Caenorhabditis elegans: one gene and its partners. The protein of the gene in region 1 interacts with the protein of each later gene in a pairwise test. Each region holds a gene or a part of one and is shown in the gene's direction. Other genes may lie near its edges.

The links.
Region 2: the proteins of attf-4 (region 1) and Y52E8A.2 interact in a two-hybrid assay, tested with the Caenorhabditis elegans proteins (one large-scale study listed by BioGRID).
Region 3: the proteins of attf-4 (region 1) and zip-2 interact in a two-hybrid assay, tested with the Caenorhabditis elegans proteins (one large-scale study listed by BioGRID).

The regions. Positions count from the first base shown.
Region 1 is NC_003281.10:6,077,809-6,085,867, forward strand, and holds attf-4 (AT hook-containing protein attf-4), read left to right. Parts: upstream 1-2,754; 5' UTR 2,755-2,767; coding exon 2,768-2,866; intron 2,867-4,356; coding exon 4,357-4,461; intron 4,462-4,982; coding exon 4,983-5,415; intron 5,416-5,464; coding exon 5,465-5,674; intron 5,675-5,817; coding exon 5,818-6,402; intron 6,403-6,464; coding exon 6,465-6,622; 3' UTR 6,623-6,940; downstream 6,941-8,059. Other genes in the region: ABC transporter ATP-binding protein/permease wht-1, read right to left, coding at 6,950-7,066, 7,261-7,390, 7,433-7,586, 7,645-7,873, 7,918-8,049.
Region 2 is NC_003280.10:4,318,330-4,322,704, forward strand, and holds Y52E8A.2 (RING-type domain-containing protein), read left to right. Parts: upstream 1-2,506; 5' UTR 2,507-2,525; coding exon 2,526-2,614; intron 2,615-2,663; coding exon 2,664-3,066; intron 3,067-3,119; coding exon 3,120-3,206; 3' UTR 3,207-3,288; downstream 3,289-4,375. Other genes in the region: Y52E8A.6 (UNC93-like protein MFSD11), read right to left, coding at 811-934, 983-1,058, 1,103-1,199, 1,246-1,433, 1,483-1,640; Y52E8A.1 (RNA helicase), read left to right, coding at 3,737-3,916, 3,963-4,109, 4,156-4,227.
Region 3 is NC_003281.10:831,222-836,898, forward strand, and holds zip-2 (Transcription factor zip-2), read left to right. Parts: upstream 1-2,866; 5' UTR 2,867-2,953; intron 2,954-3,083; 5' UTR 3,084-3,238; coding exon 3,239-3,247; intron 3,248-3,299; coding exon 3,300-3,615; intron 3,616-3,671; coding exon 3,672-3,992; intron 3,993-4,106; coding exon 4,107-4,387; 3' UTR 4,388-4,590; downstream 4,591-5,677. Other genes in the region: ceeh-1 (Epoxide hydrolase 1), read right to left, coding at 506-630, 676-1,050; dos-3 (Delta and OSM-11-like), read right to left, coding at 4,594-5,005, 5,548-5,677. UniProt on the Caenorhabditis elegans protein: Transcription factor that binds to the promoter and the enhancer regions of target genes. May act together with the bZIP transcription factor, cebp-2. Involved in responding to mitochondrial damage.

The DNA.
Region 1 (8,059 bases):
TTTATTTGATTTTCAATGTTTTAATGTTTATTATAGACCTATTTTTTAGTTTTTTATAAAAATATCCTGATTAGACTCCTCCAATTTTCTTCATATCTTAATTTTTAAAAAGTTTCATTAAATAAAGAATCCCCGATTGCCAAAAGCCTCCTTCTGAAACTCCAAGTCTCTCCAATTCTGGCATTATTAATTTAAATGCATAAAATCAAAATTTCTGGAAAAATATATTAAAATTGGATGCACTTTTGTGCTCTTTTCCATTAATTTAACCCATTCTTTTATTTATTAGTTATCGCCTTCTGTCGTGTGTATGTGTGTGTCCAAAACCCTTGCCTCTCTTTCTCTTTCAACCCAAAATGCGTCCATAAAATGTTTGAATGAATTAATGAAATGGGGAGTCGTTTACTACGCTGCGTCTCCTTTAAATCACTTGATCTCTCATTTTCTCTTATATATTTCCAAATCATAAGAAATTTTGAAATATATAGAAATTGAATGACAGAGAGAGAGAGAGAGTAAGAGTAAGAGCAGATGTTTGGCAGTCAGACAACGGGGGGACCGAGGCCCACATTAAAATTGAATGAAAAATTTCGAAAAAGAAAATTTTTATTTTGCATTCACGAGTGGTAGGGGAAAAAGAGGAAACAGCGATTAAATATATAAACATTGAAAACTTTTGGGCGGGGTTTAGTGGAGCAAGTGGGAAAGCTTATGAAGATGTTTGAATTCAGAATGTGAATTTGAACGTTTGGCCTAGAAAAACCAAAACTTCGGCCAGCGATATTTTTTCTTATGTAGGCCAGGATCAGAGCATCCTTTTTTGCTACATGATATAAAAACCTAAACTTCGGGAACTAATTAATTTTTTTCAGCAAACCTTATCTACAGTTTTCTGGATGCAAGATCTTTATTTTTAAAAGAGCTGCCGAGTTCTAGTATTTCTAGACCACTACGTGTGGCAACATTCTTTCTCTTCCTATTTTTAGCTCTATATACCCCGGTTGACTTGATAGGCGAATTTAATTGAGAATTATAAATTTTCCATTTTCCAAAAAGTAAAATTCCAAATTCAAATGTTCTTTCTCCCACTCCAATATTGTAACATACAATAAAATTTAATCCTATCTCTCTTTCCTCTGTGCTTTCCATAACCTCTCTTCCATTTTGCCCGTTGGTGGCAGGCGATGGGCGGGTTTGACATCGTCCTTTAAGAATAATAAAATGTGTCATTTGGTGCCCTCTTTATCTCTATTTCTCTATTCCTCTCTAACTCTCGTTTACAAAACGCCACCTGCTCTCTCTTTCTCTTCATTTGACCCCTCTACTCCCAACACCCAAACAGACACCATCCTTTGTTCCGTTTTTTTTGGTTTTTTGATGGTGGACAGTGGTGATGGACATTTCGTTTTACTCCATGTTTTATTTTATTCTAATGTGCTATGTGTGCAACCAACATCTGCCTTCCACCGGTATAATGAGATTTTGACTAGGGAAGGGTCAACTCATGGTCACGTTGGCGACTCTTTTGGGACTTTTGAGTGAACATTTCTAAATTGTAGATTTTTCGCTATGGCCAGTTGTCAACCCTAAAAATTGGGATTTTCATGGTTTTTAAGGTACTGTTTTTTTCATGCAATATTTCAAATTCAATTATCTACAAACAAAAATATTTTCTGGAAAATATTCAACTGAAAAGCCAGCTGATATTTTCCAGCATTTTGTCAGTTGATAACTTTTTTCTAGCATCACAAAGTTATGATAATTTAAAGACTCTCCACACTTCCAACAGAGGTAGCAAAGAAACGAAAAGCTCTCGCTCAATAGGGTGCTGAGAAGCTAGACTCTGCACTCTCTTTGCAATTCCAGTTAGGAAATTTATAACTAACTAAAAATTGGCAAAAAATATTTTAATATTCTGAATTTATAACGAACTTTTGGCTTCTGGGGTAGTCACTTTGAAAGCTACATTTTGACGCGCCTTTTTTAAACGCCTTTTCGAAAATTTTATTTCAAAATTCGTTTAGTCTTCAGAATACAATATGATTCTGACATTTTTGGCAGAAAATTACATTTTTCACACTCCGTGGGAGGTCTATAAATTCGTTTTATGTTAATCGTGGCCAGTTAAAATTTTCAGCGCGTGCGCCTTGAAACTTTATTTTTCAAAAAAAAAACTTTTCCCCCCGATTACGCCTTCCCCAATTCTCGCCTATTTTGTTACACAAATTTAATTAAAATTTTTTCTAAAATTTTCATTATTTTCTCTTTCCCTCTCTCTTTTTCTGCAAAACCCACCTAGAAAACAATTTATGTGAAATTAAATTGTTATTTACTGCGCAACCGGAAAAATAAAATAAAATTTAAAAATTTGTAAAATGCGAAATCAGCAATTCAAGTATCTCTCTCCCTCTCTTTCTGGTGTCCTCGTCATCCACTACCAGCCACAAAAATAAAAAAAGAATTTCGCATTTTTTATGTGATTCAGAGAAGTGTCTCCCGTATTCGAGTACTATTTTCGAGTTTTGCAATACATCTTATCAAAAATATATGTTTTGGGGTGAAACGGGAAAATAGAAAGAGAGGGACAAGTGAGAGAGCAGAATTTAATATTTTTGATGACTTTTTCAAACAAATTTTTTTTGTTGAAAACTTTTTCCCTCACTTTTTCACATTTCTTATCATTCTTCTTCGCTTTCTCGAAATTTAATTTCATTTTTTAAACGCATTATCAATATGTTATACTTAATATTTCAGATCAACTCAGATGATGCTCCAACCGCCAACTTTAACGCCGAATGCGAATGGTGAAGAGTTCAGAGGATCCGTCAGTACAGATCGTAGTTCAGCTTCTCCTTCCAACATTGACGTGAGTTTGGATTTTCATCGTTTTGATGTGAAAAAAGAACACTATAAAAAATTACAAGACATATAAAAAAATTTTACTGTATGTCTTTTTTCAAACTTGTTCCCATGTCTTACATATTTAAAAACTATACATTAAGCTTGGAGAGAGGTTCAAAATTTTTGAATGTCTGAAAACCTACATGGGCGACCTCTAAAATTTCTAGACTTTAACAACAAAAAAATTGTGTTCTAAAAAAATTTCGCAGTTTCAAAGATGTAACGCAAATACATATATTACACATTTCTCAATCTTTTCTCTTGTTTTCGCACTCGTTTTGCCCGCCTCCCTCATTCATTTTCACAATTTCTCTCTCGTTTATTTTTTGCCTCAAACATCTCAAGATGATTTTTTATTTATTTCGAAGAAACTCGCAATTTCATTTTTTTCAACATTTTTGCCTCGCTCGTTAAATGTAAGAGAAATAGACATATTTTTCGATATGTATTGAAAAAATTGAGGTGAGAGTGAGAGCGATGAAAATGTGCTAATTCAGAAGGCAAACAACTTTTTTTTTCGATATAAAATTTATGAAACATTTTTTTTCGTTTTCCATATTTAGAAGTGCTTTTGGAAAAGGTTTAGTTTTGCCTTTATGCTCACTTTGAAATAAAATTTGCCGCTGTGGGACTCTGTGGGACTCGGAACCACACATATTTTGTTTTCCCGCTCTTTCTCTCCCTTTTTTCTGTTTAACAAAACCTTTTCAAAATAAAAAAAAGAGCACAATTTTCTTTTGGTTTTTTTTTGCGTTGTCCCCACAAGAATTTTATTATTTTATTATCTACACATTACACGATAGAAAATAAAACGTAGCGAAAATATTATCAGTTATCGGAATCGTTAAAATTATTGAAAAATTATAGATGAAAAAAATTCTTCTTCTTTTTCTTTGATAATGATAGGAATTAACAGAAAATTTCAATTTAATGATGATTGTTAGATGCTCGCGGAGCACACGACAATTCCGTAAAAGTGCGCGAACAAACAAACAGACTGTTTTTTTTGTTGAAAAAGCGAACTTTTCCTCCTCCCCTTCTTTCAATTTGTGCTCTCAAATCATTCATTTTTCCTACAAACATAAAAAACCCAATTTCTTTCGATTTTCCGTATTTTTTATGGCGCTCTTCTAAAACCGCACTATTTCTTTTCCATTTTTTTTCAATCAAATATTTATATATTTTTTTATTTATTTTGAGAAGGAAAACGGACAGGGGGGAAGGCGAGGTGGTGGTTGAGCCAGCAGCCCGCTCCCTCTCCTGTCACAGCAGCACCCAGCCACCACATACATACAACCCTCAATTTGAGTGAATTTGTGACCAATTTTCTAAATTTATTTGGTATTTGTTAGGTTGCTGCACGAATTGCTCGAATATAAATATATCTGATACATGAGTTTTTGCAATTCTTATTGATCAAGCTTAAGCTCTTCTCTAATTCTGAAATATTTGTAGGAGATCATGGAAGACGATGTGAATCAGAAGGACGAGGATGAAGATCTGAACTTAGTGGATCGTGTCAGCAAGCTCGAGACAAATTTTGTATTCATTCAGCATCAGGTGAGTGAAAAACTATTAATAAATTATTTTATTTTCTAAATCGAGAATGAAAGAAGTAGAAAAATATATTTGCACAACAATTTCGACAAGTGCAATGTGTAATGCAACAAGTCATAGGTGTCTAGTATTTATTTTGAAAATTTCCAAAAAAAAACTCGACTAGACACAACAATAGGCTTACCGTCCGTCACACATACTATTTTTTTCGATTTTTCACCCGTGGAATTCATTTTCATTTTCATTCACAAAGTTTACATTTGACCATCTCTCTTTCCCTCTGTCGCCCTGTCTCGGGGCTCACGCATCGTATACATACCGGACAGAGGAAGCAGATTGAAGAAGAAGAAGTGAAGACAGCGATCGTCAAATAGTGTGTTTTGTGGGAGGAAATAGTAGAATGATCCAAAAATAAATTAAATGTCAACATTTATTGACGCGGAAAAATGGAAAAAAAATATAATTTTATCGTGGTGTTATGAAATTTAAAATATACATGGACCCATTGAACTGTATGTTTCCAGCTATCCTCTATCATGAACCATCTTCATGCTCCACAATGCAAGTGTACAACATGCTCCAAAGTCAACCAACCTGGAGCTGAAGAGCAGAAGAATGATACATCAGTGCTCTCGCAGCTATTCCCTAATGCTTCTGATCAGCAACTCAAGACTCTCCTCGATCTCTCGAAAATGAACAAGTTGCCATCACAAGTTGTTCACAAGGATCAACAGAACGGATCATCTTTTCTACCATCAGCAAATAAGACCTCTGAAAATCCAAAACCTATTGAACTGAAGCCTCTGAAGCTTGGACAAGGCTATCAGATGGCGAATGGTGGAGGTGGAGGCAAGATTCATACCGAAAGACTCTCAGAACCAGCGAGAAAGCAGAGCCGGAAAGTTGGATTCCCACCACCAGTTGCTTCATATTATCAGAGAAAGGAGAGCTCGAATCGTAAGTTCACTATACAACCACAGCGCAATCTAGAAACTCTAATTTTCAGCTTTGGTCCCGCCAACTCCATTGTCGTCCATCCCAAATCTGATTACAAATTCCAATGCAGTATCAGCCAACACTTCAACAGCTTCACCAGGACCCTCCTCGGAAGGAAGTGGTGATGATCATCTTGAGGCTCCAAATGAGGTGGCTCACATGCATTCTAGTACCGTACCAGCTACACCAACAACTCCAGGAGCCAACTTGTTCACTCAATGTAAGTAGATCCGCATGTTTTTTCTTAAATTTTTGCCAATTTCAATTATGCTAAAGGGAAGGAAATCTAACTTTAAGTAATTAGAGCAGTACTTGAATTATATTTTTTATCAATGCAAAACAAATTAATTTTTAATTTTTCAGCTATGGTCGATATGCTCAAACTGAATGCACAAAACGCTGCTCACTCGACAGGTTCTCCTGGATTCTTACGTGGACGTGGTCGCGGACGTCCAAAGCTTATCGGAGATGAACTTGATGCTGATCTCGTTGACTACATGGTTTCCCTGAAGAACTCAGATCCACATGGTGGCCACTTCACCGCATCTCAGGCCCTGCATATGGCTCGTCAATACATACTCGAAAGAGCTCCAGGCCTTCTCGAAGAGCATGGAGGTCATGTAAAGCTGAAGCTCACCTGGGCGATGAAGTTGGTGTCGAGAATTGGGGAACGACAGCGGGAAATCGAGCTAGGACTTCCAGCCGGAACACTGTCGAATATGGGACGAAACTTGACAAATATACCGGCTGGTGGCAATTTTATGGCTGATATGATGGCTCAGAACATCTTTTCGCAGCATATGATGATGGTGAATCAACAATTGGAAGGTGGATCTCCACCAGCATCTTCTTCATCAACTGCCACGACATCGACAGCCACGAAGACAGTGAAGCAAGAGTCGAAAAATGGACATCAGAATGAGGAAAATTTAAATGTGAAACAAGAAGGTGAGTTGTCACGGGTTCTAGTCCAACTTCACTTGAACCTTCTCTAAAATTATAATTTTCAGCCTCCACGATGCCCGAAATAATAAATATCAAAGAGCTCAATCTTCCATTCCTCAACAACTTCCTTGCCGAACTAAACGACAACAACTCGGGACTGATTGACGGTGAAATTGGTGCAGCAGGTCCATCCATGGCTGCTCTTTTTGCTCCGAACGCATAATTTTTAAAAACATTTTTTTGTTTTATTTTCTTGTTGTAACATTTTACTACTGAACCTCCATTCATCTCAAAACAGACCACCCGATTTTATGGGTATTTTTCGATATATTCTTATTGTCAATTACTTCTACTTTTTCCCTGTCATCACCTCTTCCTATATGTATCATTTTCTACACATAGGCATCACTTTCAACATGTTTTATACTTGCTTTTTTTTTTGATTTTCCAATTTTCCAATTTTCCGGCATCAACATTCACAAAACAAAATATGTTAACAAAATTCAAATTAACAGTATTCAAATAAATTATACAATCAAATATTTCCTTTTCAAGTATTATTATAGGAACGGATGAGAAGTGCCACGTAGGCAATTATGCGAATTCCGATGAACATTCCAAACAGAATTGAAATATCAAAAATTTTATGCGAAGCCGAGAAATCGATCTGTAATTTTAAACCATAAAAGCTTGAACAATGAAAGTTCCACCTCGTTGTGAAAAACTTCTTTTGAGCATTATTCGATGTTCAGAAAATAAACACCAAAAAGTCTACGATTTAGTTTGGTTAAGTAATCCAACACTGAGAAACAGATTTTTTAAATGTTCCTAAATTAATTTCTAATAATCCAAAACACTAACCGATTCCAAAACTTGATGCCCATTTTTTGGGCAGCTATCCAACGCAAACGCAGTCATTGAACTATTGAAACACTCCGGAATCACTTTGATCGAATCCCATTCATTGATCGCGAGAGCTTCATAACCGTATCTAAAAGATTTGTTATTATATAACACAAATCATCATGTTTACTTGAAATAAGAGAGCGAAGAGAGCCATTTAAAGTAAGATGGAATGGCGTCAAATGTTATGAAGAATCCTCCAAACGCCATAATTGGAACTACAAAGATTGGAAGTATTGTCATGGCTACATCAGTGTTGGCAAAGATCGTTGCGACAGCGTAAGCTGAAAAGAAAAGAATGAAGCAGCTGTCATCTCACAGGTCAAACTGAGCACAGCTTACAAATGGAAATTGCCACGTTTGTAATCAAAATTGTTACCAGCGACGCGAAGCAATAGTTCCAGAAGTTAGGATAGAGCCCAGACATCCAGTAGACAATTGTATTGTATAGAATTGGAAGGATTATGTATTGAGGGAGTTCTGCAATGTTTTTCGCAAGAAAATATGCACTCGTTCGATACACTCCATTTGCATTTTCTCGGAGTACAATTGGAAGTTCTGCCGTAATAACCTGAAGATTAATTCAAATTCTGAAATTAATTGGCTGCCTGGTACCGGAACATTTGGGAATTGAAGCATAAAGTTCATATTTCGAATGTGGTTGAACATTATTCCATTTATCGATATTATCGTAGCAGGTGTGACTGGAGTTTGGAAGAATACTATACCAGTTATAAATGCAGTTATCTATACAACA
Region 2 (4,375 bases), on another chromosome or scaffold:
TGTTGAACTGACTTTTGGTTCATCTGAGCTAGACGGTTTTCATATGATGAGTATGATAGATTGCAGCGTTGGAAGACTCTTCTCGAGAAAAACTTCAGTGGCGACTCCAGTTGTTTAATCAGATTTTTAGAGATCGGGTTGTAGATTTCACATCCGTAGTTTAATATTGGCTGCACATAGATATTGTACAATTTGAAGTAAAGGCTGGCATTTGTTGAGCGGAAGGATCGAAGTAACTGCCGGCATTTGAGAAGGGCTAAGTTCGAAATGATGTTTATGTGCTTCTGGAAGTTCAGCTTGTCGTCGACGAAGATTCCAAGGTCTTTCACTGAGTCCTTTTTGGTGATTTTCATTCCGTTTGCATAATATTCATTTTTTGGATTCCGCTTTCCAAAGTGAATAACATTGGTTTTGTTTTCAGCAAGGTTCAATTTCCATTTTGCGCACCAATCCGTCACGACATTGATTGATTTTTGAATAGCGCTGACATTGTCACCAAGTAACTTGATATCATTTAATGTGATTTTTTCGCAATTTTCTCTACTCCGAAAAATTTTGGAAAACATTTCAAAACTAGGTCTCATACTGTTAGGTAGATAGATAGGCAGGCAAAAAGCAAAAAAAATCTGCCTACTTCCCTGACAACCTACGCCTGCCCGATGATGGGCTGTATATGTGCCTACTGCCGAGCAGCTGAACTTTCATTAACAGTCAAAATGAAATAATCTTCAGTCAGTGACATTGTGCTCACACTCAATTTAGATTAGGTGGTAGGCAGGCAGGCATAAAGGCGACCTACCATAAACTCACTCAATGTCTTCGCGAACGTCTCATGCTTCTTTCTCTCCGGAACATACACTGATTGTGGCAGAAATGCCGTGTTAATCGCCGCCAATAGAGAAATGGAACAACAGATATAGACGAATGTTTTGTACTGAAAATTGGCAGAATTAGAAACAGATGGATGTTGGAAATACAATACATCTCCAGATTCCAGAAATTCGTTCATTTTTTGATTGTAGAACAGAACGTAGAGAAATATTCCACCACCGAGGAGGCTTGAAAAATCAAAATGGTACAGAGAATTGATGGAAGTACTCACCAGAACTTAAAAATGAACCAAGTCAGAGCAATATTTCGTTCAATAGTTTCACTTGTGCAGTTTTCCGTCAGATATTTTCCCTGGCCAACCCATATGACTGAAAGTTTCAGAACATTTGCGAAGCCCTCCTGATTCATACTTACAAGCACCACCGACACCCAAACTCGCTGAAGTAATGTACACATAATAAGTATTCATATGTATAAATCCATATTGAAATGCAATATATGCCGAAAATCTCAGAACCATTCCCCATTTCGCGGAAATCTTATCAATTATTGGAGCAACAAATAGGCAAGAAAGTGTGAAAAAGAAGTAAGTTATAGCAAAACTAAAATCAGTTTTGCTTTTGAAAAAGTGACCATATAGAAGAGACAAACCTATGATAACCGGCGTGAGGATCAATATTCCCACCGGTTTTATGCTTTTCCTCGATAAGTGGTTCTTGTATGTATTCTTGACTCATATAAGCAAAAAATAGGAGCAAAAATGAAATCGATAGTCGGAGCACATTTTTCGTCCCTTGGTCAATAGCCATATCCGAAATCGGAAGCCTCTAGATTTTTATTCCTGTAAAAACTACAAATTTGAAACAAAGTTTCAAAAAAAAGAAACTTGAAAAAAAATAATTTATGACTTGGAAAAAATATCAAAGGTTTATGACAAAGACAAAAACTAGGCACTCTACTTTTTGTCATTTTTTATACTATCCAACAATATTATTCTTCTCCTTTTTCAGTCATCAGTGAAACTTTTTTCCGAATAATCCAGAAATTTGCATAATTCCCTTTAATTTGGAACGTTCAATTCGAGAAACTTGTTCAAAAACCGTCAATATGTATCGAAACGAGGAACTAACACAGCCAAGCATCAAGTAATTGTATTTTTACTATAAAAGTGTTTTTTTTGGAATTGTAAATAAACCTTTTTCAACATGTGGTTTCCTCTTAAAACCTCTTTTATTTTTAATTCTGTGCCTGGAAATTTCAAAGACGCGGCGGGATCTTGGCCCGATAAAACTTTGTGCGCCTTTAAAAATGGGTACGGTAGGATTTAATTTCCGCTTTGGCTTTTTCGTTCAGAAAGATGTCAATTAAATTCAAATTTTCCTTATTTTATTTGTTTTTTTTTTGGAAATAATATTGAAAAATATATAAATTATTCAACAAATTCGAAATTCTTAATTTTACCTCCATTTAAATTAATTAACTACTCAATCGTTGCGAAACCCGTGCAAGAATTATACCATGTCCCTTGAAGCGGTACGGTAGGCCCACGTTTTGTTTGCCACGCTGGATTTATCGATTTTTCGGATCTTTTCTGAATTGTGCAGCTTTCTCTGTGTGATTTTGTCGTTAACTGGTTTTAAAAATATTATTTTTCCCAGAATATATTAAGTTTTAGAGTTTATCGATTGGAAATCATGGTAAACACGTTGGAAGGCCTAGAATCGACGAGGAATTTGATTTTGAAGGAAAATCCAATGCGACGAGCCGCGGAACTTGTCGCCAGGTATTTTTAATTACGGCATTCAACTAAAATTTTAATTTGTATTTTTCAGACTATCGGCAGATGAAGTTACGATGCGTGCCGCGAAATACGAGCTGATCAAGTTCAATCGAGCATTCCAGAATTTCATGCTAGTGTTGGATGAGAATATTGAAGAGATTCTGATGTCAAACGACAATTCTACTCGAATTCAGCTCAAGAAGCTTCCGGAATTTCCATCCTTCTCGGATTCGTTTATGCAAGAATATGAAAAAGCTCTTCTGAATGGCGCAGAGAAGCTCAAAGCTTCAACCTCCAGCGAAAAAGGATCCATCCCGTCAGTCTCCTTTTCTTCATCAATTTCAAGCTCTAGCGCCGAGCTATCAGATGCTCGATGCCTTATCTGTCTGGACGACGTTATTTCGACTGAAAAAACTATCAAATGCAATTCGTGTAGACGTCGGTTTCATCTCGATGTAAGATTATTCATTTCAAAAACCTTTTCATAAATAAATTTCAAAATTTTCAGTGCGCTTCCCAATGGTTCAAGGAAAAGAGCGTTTGTCCAGCTTGTAATCGAGGGATGCTGGATCCAACGGAATTTCCATCTCTTTAATACCTCGTTTTAATTAATTTTTCAATAATTTCATGTGTAATTCGTTTTGCTTTTTAATAATTACAGTTGTAATAAAACTATAACATAGCTTTTGGAGTGGTTTCGACGTCGATCAGAATTTTTCGGGATGTCGACTGAACTTGACTTGCATAAATTCAATCGCCTTAAAAAACACAGAAATTCGAACTTTTCTTATTTTTTTTCGGACAAAAAATTGAGAAAAAACGAAAAATTAATTTTTACAAAAAAATTAAAAATAAAAAAAACTCGAACATTCTATGAATTTACAGCCAAAATCATGCCAGACGCAATTCTACCGGACAATGATGATGATTTGGAGATGAATGAAGAACAGGAAGAGCCTCCTAGCTCAGGAAACGTGAAAAATGAAGATTTTGAGGAAATTGAAGAAGCTGTCAAGGGCGAGGAAAAACTAAGTTTCAGATAAAGAAAAATCCGATGGAGAAGAAGGCGATGAATTCAAGTCATCAGATGACACCCCAAAGCCCATTCAAATCTCCGAAGACAACATGACAACTAAGAAATTCTCCCAGCTCGGCGTGTGCTCCTGGATCAACCAACAGCTCGAAACTATGCAAATTAAAACTGCGACGCCGGTTCAGGCGGCTTGTATTCCAAAAATTCTCGAAGGAAGCGAGGAACCGGAGCCGGTCCCGGAGCATGAAATTCTTACTGTTGTAATTAACAAGGTATACATCCCGAACACATCCAGTATACTTATACAGATTTTTTCAGACATCCAGTCAACATTTTGGATGCCATATTACAATCTCAAATGGCATCGCCAAGGTTCTTTCGGTTATTCCAGGATCGCCGGTAGATGAAGCTCTTTATGCTGGTGACATAAACTTATCGATCGATGGAATAAATATTTATAATTATGTAAGAATTAGATTTTTTAAATGTAATTTTTTGTATTTTTTTGCAGGGAGGTTTAAGAGATTTCAAGAATCGAGGAAACATCACTTTGAAGGTCCAACGCACAATTGAAAAACAATAACTTTCCTGATTTCTTTTCGTTTATGACTTCCAATTGATTGATGAAGATTATTTTTATTTCATTATTGATTCAAATTCATTTTTCAATGTAAAAAGATGGAAAAAACAGATATTCAGAAGTGAACTTGAAAAAGAGACTTTTTGCTCCC
Region 3 (5,677 bases), 5.2 Mb from region 1:
GTCATCGAAGGCTTAAGGCAAAGCTTCTACTTCTTTATAAATTCATAAGCGGTACCTCTTACTTCCCAAATCTAAACGATCTGATCAGAATTACAGAGTCTAAAAGAAGGCCTATGATTATTATTTGTACAAAACCAAAAATTACTGATTTTTTCACCTCAACCGTCCCCGTCTGGAATGCTATTTTTCATAATACTCCCCATTTCCTTTCTCCCCGTGAATTTGTTAAAGTTATTGATTCCTCCATAACACGGTTCTGAATAATTTTGTTTGACGGTTATAATTAATTCTATGATCTCTAATTTCCCTAAAAGTCTTTTTTTTCCCTTTCTTCTCTCAATGCCGGTCTATTTTTTTCCTCTCTTTGCCGGACTCGTGAGGGTCCCGACTTTTTTATTGTTTTGATTAACTTTGATTAAACAATAAATTCACTTGTGGGTCATCCTCAACCGTGATTCCACTAGACTCGAAGTCTTTCTCAACAGTAATTTTTTTTTTAAAGCACCTGTATTTATCTGCAAATTCTTTCAACTGAAATCTCCAAGAATACCAAAACTCGGGGTATCCATGAATAAATAGCATTAATGGTTTGTCATCGGATCCAGTTTGGACATAATGAAGCCGCACTTTCTGCAATTTTTCATAGTGCAAAATTTAAAAAAAACTATTTTTTACCTTTAACTTGATGTACCTGCTGTCCCATCCTTCCAAAACGTTTGGCTTCTCCCGCTGCTTTTTCTCAAACAATGATCTTCCTTTAACCGCAAATCCCAGGAATAGAATTGCCGAGAATTTGACAAAATAATAAAATTGTAAGAGGCGGACGAGTATTCTATAGAGAAACATTGTCAAGTAATAAGAAAACGAACCGAACGCAAGGTCGTGACGGGAGAGAGGAAGACTACAATTTATCGGCCGACACAGACACAAAAAGTAAAGAAGATAACCAATAATTTTGTAATTGGGACAATTACATGTAGTGTGGCACACAAACTTCTTGTATTTAGAAAATTTGTTCAAACATTGTATGTATATACTTTCAAACAACATTTGGTCAGTTTTTAGAATGCGATCATTTATTTTCTAGTGTCATTTCACATCCTATACTTAAATATTTTGTGTAAGCGTGTTGGCTTGCAAAACAAGGAAAAACAACAAATATTTAAATCCTTTTGTGGATTTCGAGCTGGTGGTTTTAATATGCACCCACATTTTACAGCGCCTTCTTTGTTATTCTTTCATGTCTACATTATCCCAACTCCGGAGTTAGCTCAAAATTTCCTTTGATCTCCTGAACTTTGAAGCTGAAGCCACAGACACATTCTATTTTTGGTTTTCATTTTCATATTTTGCTCTGACTACAAATTTACGTCTTTGTTTTTCTGGTTTTTCCGGTTGCTTGGCAACAATTGCAATCGCTTATTTGTGTTCAATAACATAAAGTCATACAAACGGAAATCGAAGAAAAATTAATGAAGAAATGTAAAATTGAATATTTATTTTTTATAATTGAATCAACCAGGAGCTTTGTCGAATGTTGATTAATTTTGGCAAGCAGCCTTTTGGATAAATGATTCATTAACTTTAAAATATAAACGAAAAAAACTGTTCCTACGTTGAGAGTACTCCGCTTTGAAAATTATGAAACTACAGTAGTTTGTGACTAGGTACATCTTGTGACATACTGTTGCACAACATTGCATCAAGAGTGGACTATATAAACTGAACTCATTTGAAGAAAATCTTTCACATTTTGTATTCTCAGTCTTCAAATGGATCATATGATTTTCTAACAAGTCGCCCTTTCGACGTCCTGTCAATGCAATGTGTGATCAAAAAGGTTAGTCAGAAATACATTTTATTGAACAGGGTAAACATTGGAAAAAAGCGAAGATTACTCAGAAAACTCCGCTTATCAATCTTCAATTCTTATCAAATGACGTTATGAAGAATTGAAGCAAAAGTCCAATGTGCGATTGTTTAAATGGAATGTATATGTTCTATGAAGTTGTTATTATACCTATGTGTTAAATTCAAATATCGAAAATAAGCAAATGTTAATAAATTTGCTCATAGAACGCACAAGTAATGAGTTCACACCATATCTTGTCTGTATATAAAAATTCACAATGTATTTGAATAAATTATGTCGTACTTGATAAGTAGTGACGTCGGTTGTGATATAAATGCTTGATTAATTTTTGTTTGAATCACAATAATAGTTATTTTTCATACATTTCTCTGGGACGGTACGGGAACAATTTTTTACATGTACTTCAGGTATTTTTGAGAAGCTAACAATTTTCCATATCTAATTGGAAATCAATCATCATCAATTGTGACCTCCTGCAATCCAGTTTTTGTTCAATTAGAGATGCTTCATGAATTTTGTCAATGTGAATCAGAATACTTTCATACTATTTATACTTTTGTACCGATGATCACCATCTGAGTAACCCAACGATGGGTCAGAATGTGTGTTTCAGTTCCTTGATCTTTTGGTTGTGGTCTGAATCAACACATATTCCTCTCCACACTTCGTTCACATTGTTGGTCGGCTGTGTCGGTCGGCGCACGCTCACTGTCCTATTCAAACACACTCTGCCATCCCTAATCCTCTTGCGACACACAGTGTCTTGTCGACCCCCGTCGTCTGTCTCCGACTGGGTGACATCATGTGAAATCTTGCCAAATGTTGTGCAATAGTGGGTGGAGCGTCCGCTCTAACGTGGTTTTTGGGTTTTCTCTGCCTCATTCTTTCGTTTTGACAAATTGTCCATTGGTGACTTTTTGTTTTTTTTTTCTATTTTGCTTACGGGAATCGATTGTTTTGACATGCTTTTGCCTAAACGGTGGTATTTTTCAGCAAGGGACCAGTTTCAAGGTCCCACGACCGCCACCGTCCGCGGAGCAATCAAAACGTCCATCAGTTCGCTTTCATCGCCTTCTCCAGGTTTGTCATATACAAATAATAATTACCTTTTTAAATCATTATCTTATGACGATGACGTGGCGATCACCAATATAAAAAATCAATACAATTCAAATTAAAACGAATAAAATCGATAATTAATATATTTCAGAAAAGTTTTCCCCACCTAGCTAGAAGCTAGCTCGTTTGTCACTAGATTTCGACGGCCTTCCCGAAGATTTCTTTTCTCCACAATGTATCACGCAAAGACAACCACCGATTTTAACATGTTCAGTCAACAGTGTTGCTTCATGGACGAGGCCAAGTATGGAGCCGGTTAGTTTTTCATAATTGGACGAATATTTTATTTTTACAAATAATTGTTCAGCTATCGGCTCCACTAGCCGTCGGGTTTTCGGCTTGGCCTCCGTCGCCGCCACTTCCGCCGTTGGCCCACTCACCGCTCCAGGATGCAGTCCACGCCGACCACAACCATCGTCGGATCCTCAACTCTTGCAGAAACCTGCCGGATTGCCTGACGACTACAGTTCCTCAGCTTCACCAGATCAATTCTGCCGAGCAATCTCCACTACAGTTCACGCATCAACCAAATTGCGATTTAATTGTGGTTCTCGACGAGCAAACGACCTACACGACTACAATGACACGACGTTCCCTACCGAAAGCGGACCGTTATTTGAGCGGTTAGTTGGCGAATTTGAGCGAATTTGAATCATAATTTGAATAATAAAATTTTCAGAGCCCAACATGAGCACGCCACAAGCTTCCCACGGGAGCTTTGAATTTGATGTACCAGAGTACACATCCTTCGACTATGCATTCGATTTCCCACCGGTTCCAGAAGCCTTCCCACCAGCCGCCAATAGTTCCTCGGCTGCATCTCCAGATGCAGATTTTCTTGATCTGGATTCTCTCATGAGCTGTGATATCACATCTCTTGACGCCTACATTCATGATGATTCCATTGCCTCTCCTTCTAACGCTTCACACATTTCTCCTCCAGCGTCGGACATTGATCCAGTTGACGAGTTCTTTCCACAGCTTGTGCACAATAATAAAAGTAAGCTTAAGACAGTATCACACTAATTAGGAAAATCCACGTCATCGTCTGAACCCATTTATATATTCTTTAACTCAGCTCTTTGTTCAATTTAAACATTAAAAACCATTTCAGTTCAATCATCTTCCTCCTCAACAGTTGAAACGACAATAACACGTGGGCGCAAAACTTCATCGGTATCGTCCGATTCGTCATCGGACTACCGTCATAAACGGGATAAGAACAATCTAGCATCCCAAAAATCTCGTCAAAAGCGCCAAGCCAAAATTCGCGAATCAAAGGAGGAAAGAGAGCGTCTAGAGAAGCGAAAAGTTCAACTTCAAGCAATGGTTTTAACCTTGGAGACTCAAGTCGAGGACTACAAGCGATTGGTCATGATGTTTGTAAAGCGATAAATATATTAATCAGATCGCGTTTTTTTCTCATTTTATTGTGTGTGTACATAAATTCAAATTTAATTTTATTTTGTTCTCGTTTTTTTCCTCATTACTTATCCCTTATCCCTTATTCACCAACCTCATTTTATCTCATCTCATCTCAATAGCAAATAGTATTTATATTCCTTTTCATTAATCAAAATAAAGTAGAAAAATAGAAATAATTAATCATAATCATCAGGAATATTAAGGAAAGTTCCAATAGAGGGAAAGTGAATAGCACTAAACCCATCAGTACCTCCAACTCCAGCAGCTGGCACGGCCCAATGTGCACCATAAGCGATTTGGCCCTGGAGCCAATCCACGTTCACGGATTCCGGGTGATAATAGTATTTGTTAGCATGATCGCGATTATGTGGGTCATCTGGATTCGGCTCCCAGAGCCCTGGTTTAGTGAATGGTGATCTACTACGAGGGCGATGCAGGATTCCTCGAGAGTCGGTTAAAGAGTTGTATTGATCTAATGCATTGGAGAACACACTGTCCGAAAATACTGGAACTGCTGCACCACCTGTAGTTTTTTTCACGCGTGGAAGATTGGGAGCTGATTGATCGGCATCTTTTAGAACTTGATCTCTGAAAGAAGATTTGCGACTTGGTTAGAAATAAATATAACATTTTCATTATTTCTTAAAGCAATTTATAGAGTCTAACCTGTGAGTTTAAGAACCTAATCATATGAGTTTGTCTAAGAGACAAGGTCGCAATTAAAGTTCTAAACTCCAGGGCCTGCAACTAAAATTCAAAACCTAAAAACGTAAAACCTAGGACTTGAACCTAAAAATCGGAACGTCAGAATCGGCGGTTAAACTTAATTAACTAAATATTAGGATTTTATGTTTAAATCCTAACTATTAGATGCATACCTTTAAGTTAAGATTCCATCACTCGAATTTTTATGTGTAAGTCGTTATTAGGCTTTTAAGCGCAGGTCTGAAGACGTTTGTTCTTAATTTTCAAATCTTAAATTCGGAACTCTTCCTGATTTTTTGACCCTTCGACTAAGGCTTACATAATCTAAATCTTATGCTTTTAATTTAACACCTTCTATAACACATTCCCTCTAAAAAGTTAGCAAAACAATTTTGTTATTTAACTCGAAAATAGAAATAATTCACCTTGAATTAGTTTGCTTTGGAAGTGGTGGCGCCGCAATTAGATGAACTGTTGTTCCATTCTTCAAAGTTATTACTTTATCAACGTTTTTTGTTGTAGTTTGGTTCAATTCCATTTCAAAATCGACAGTGT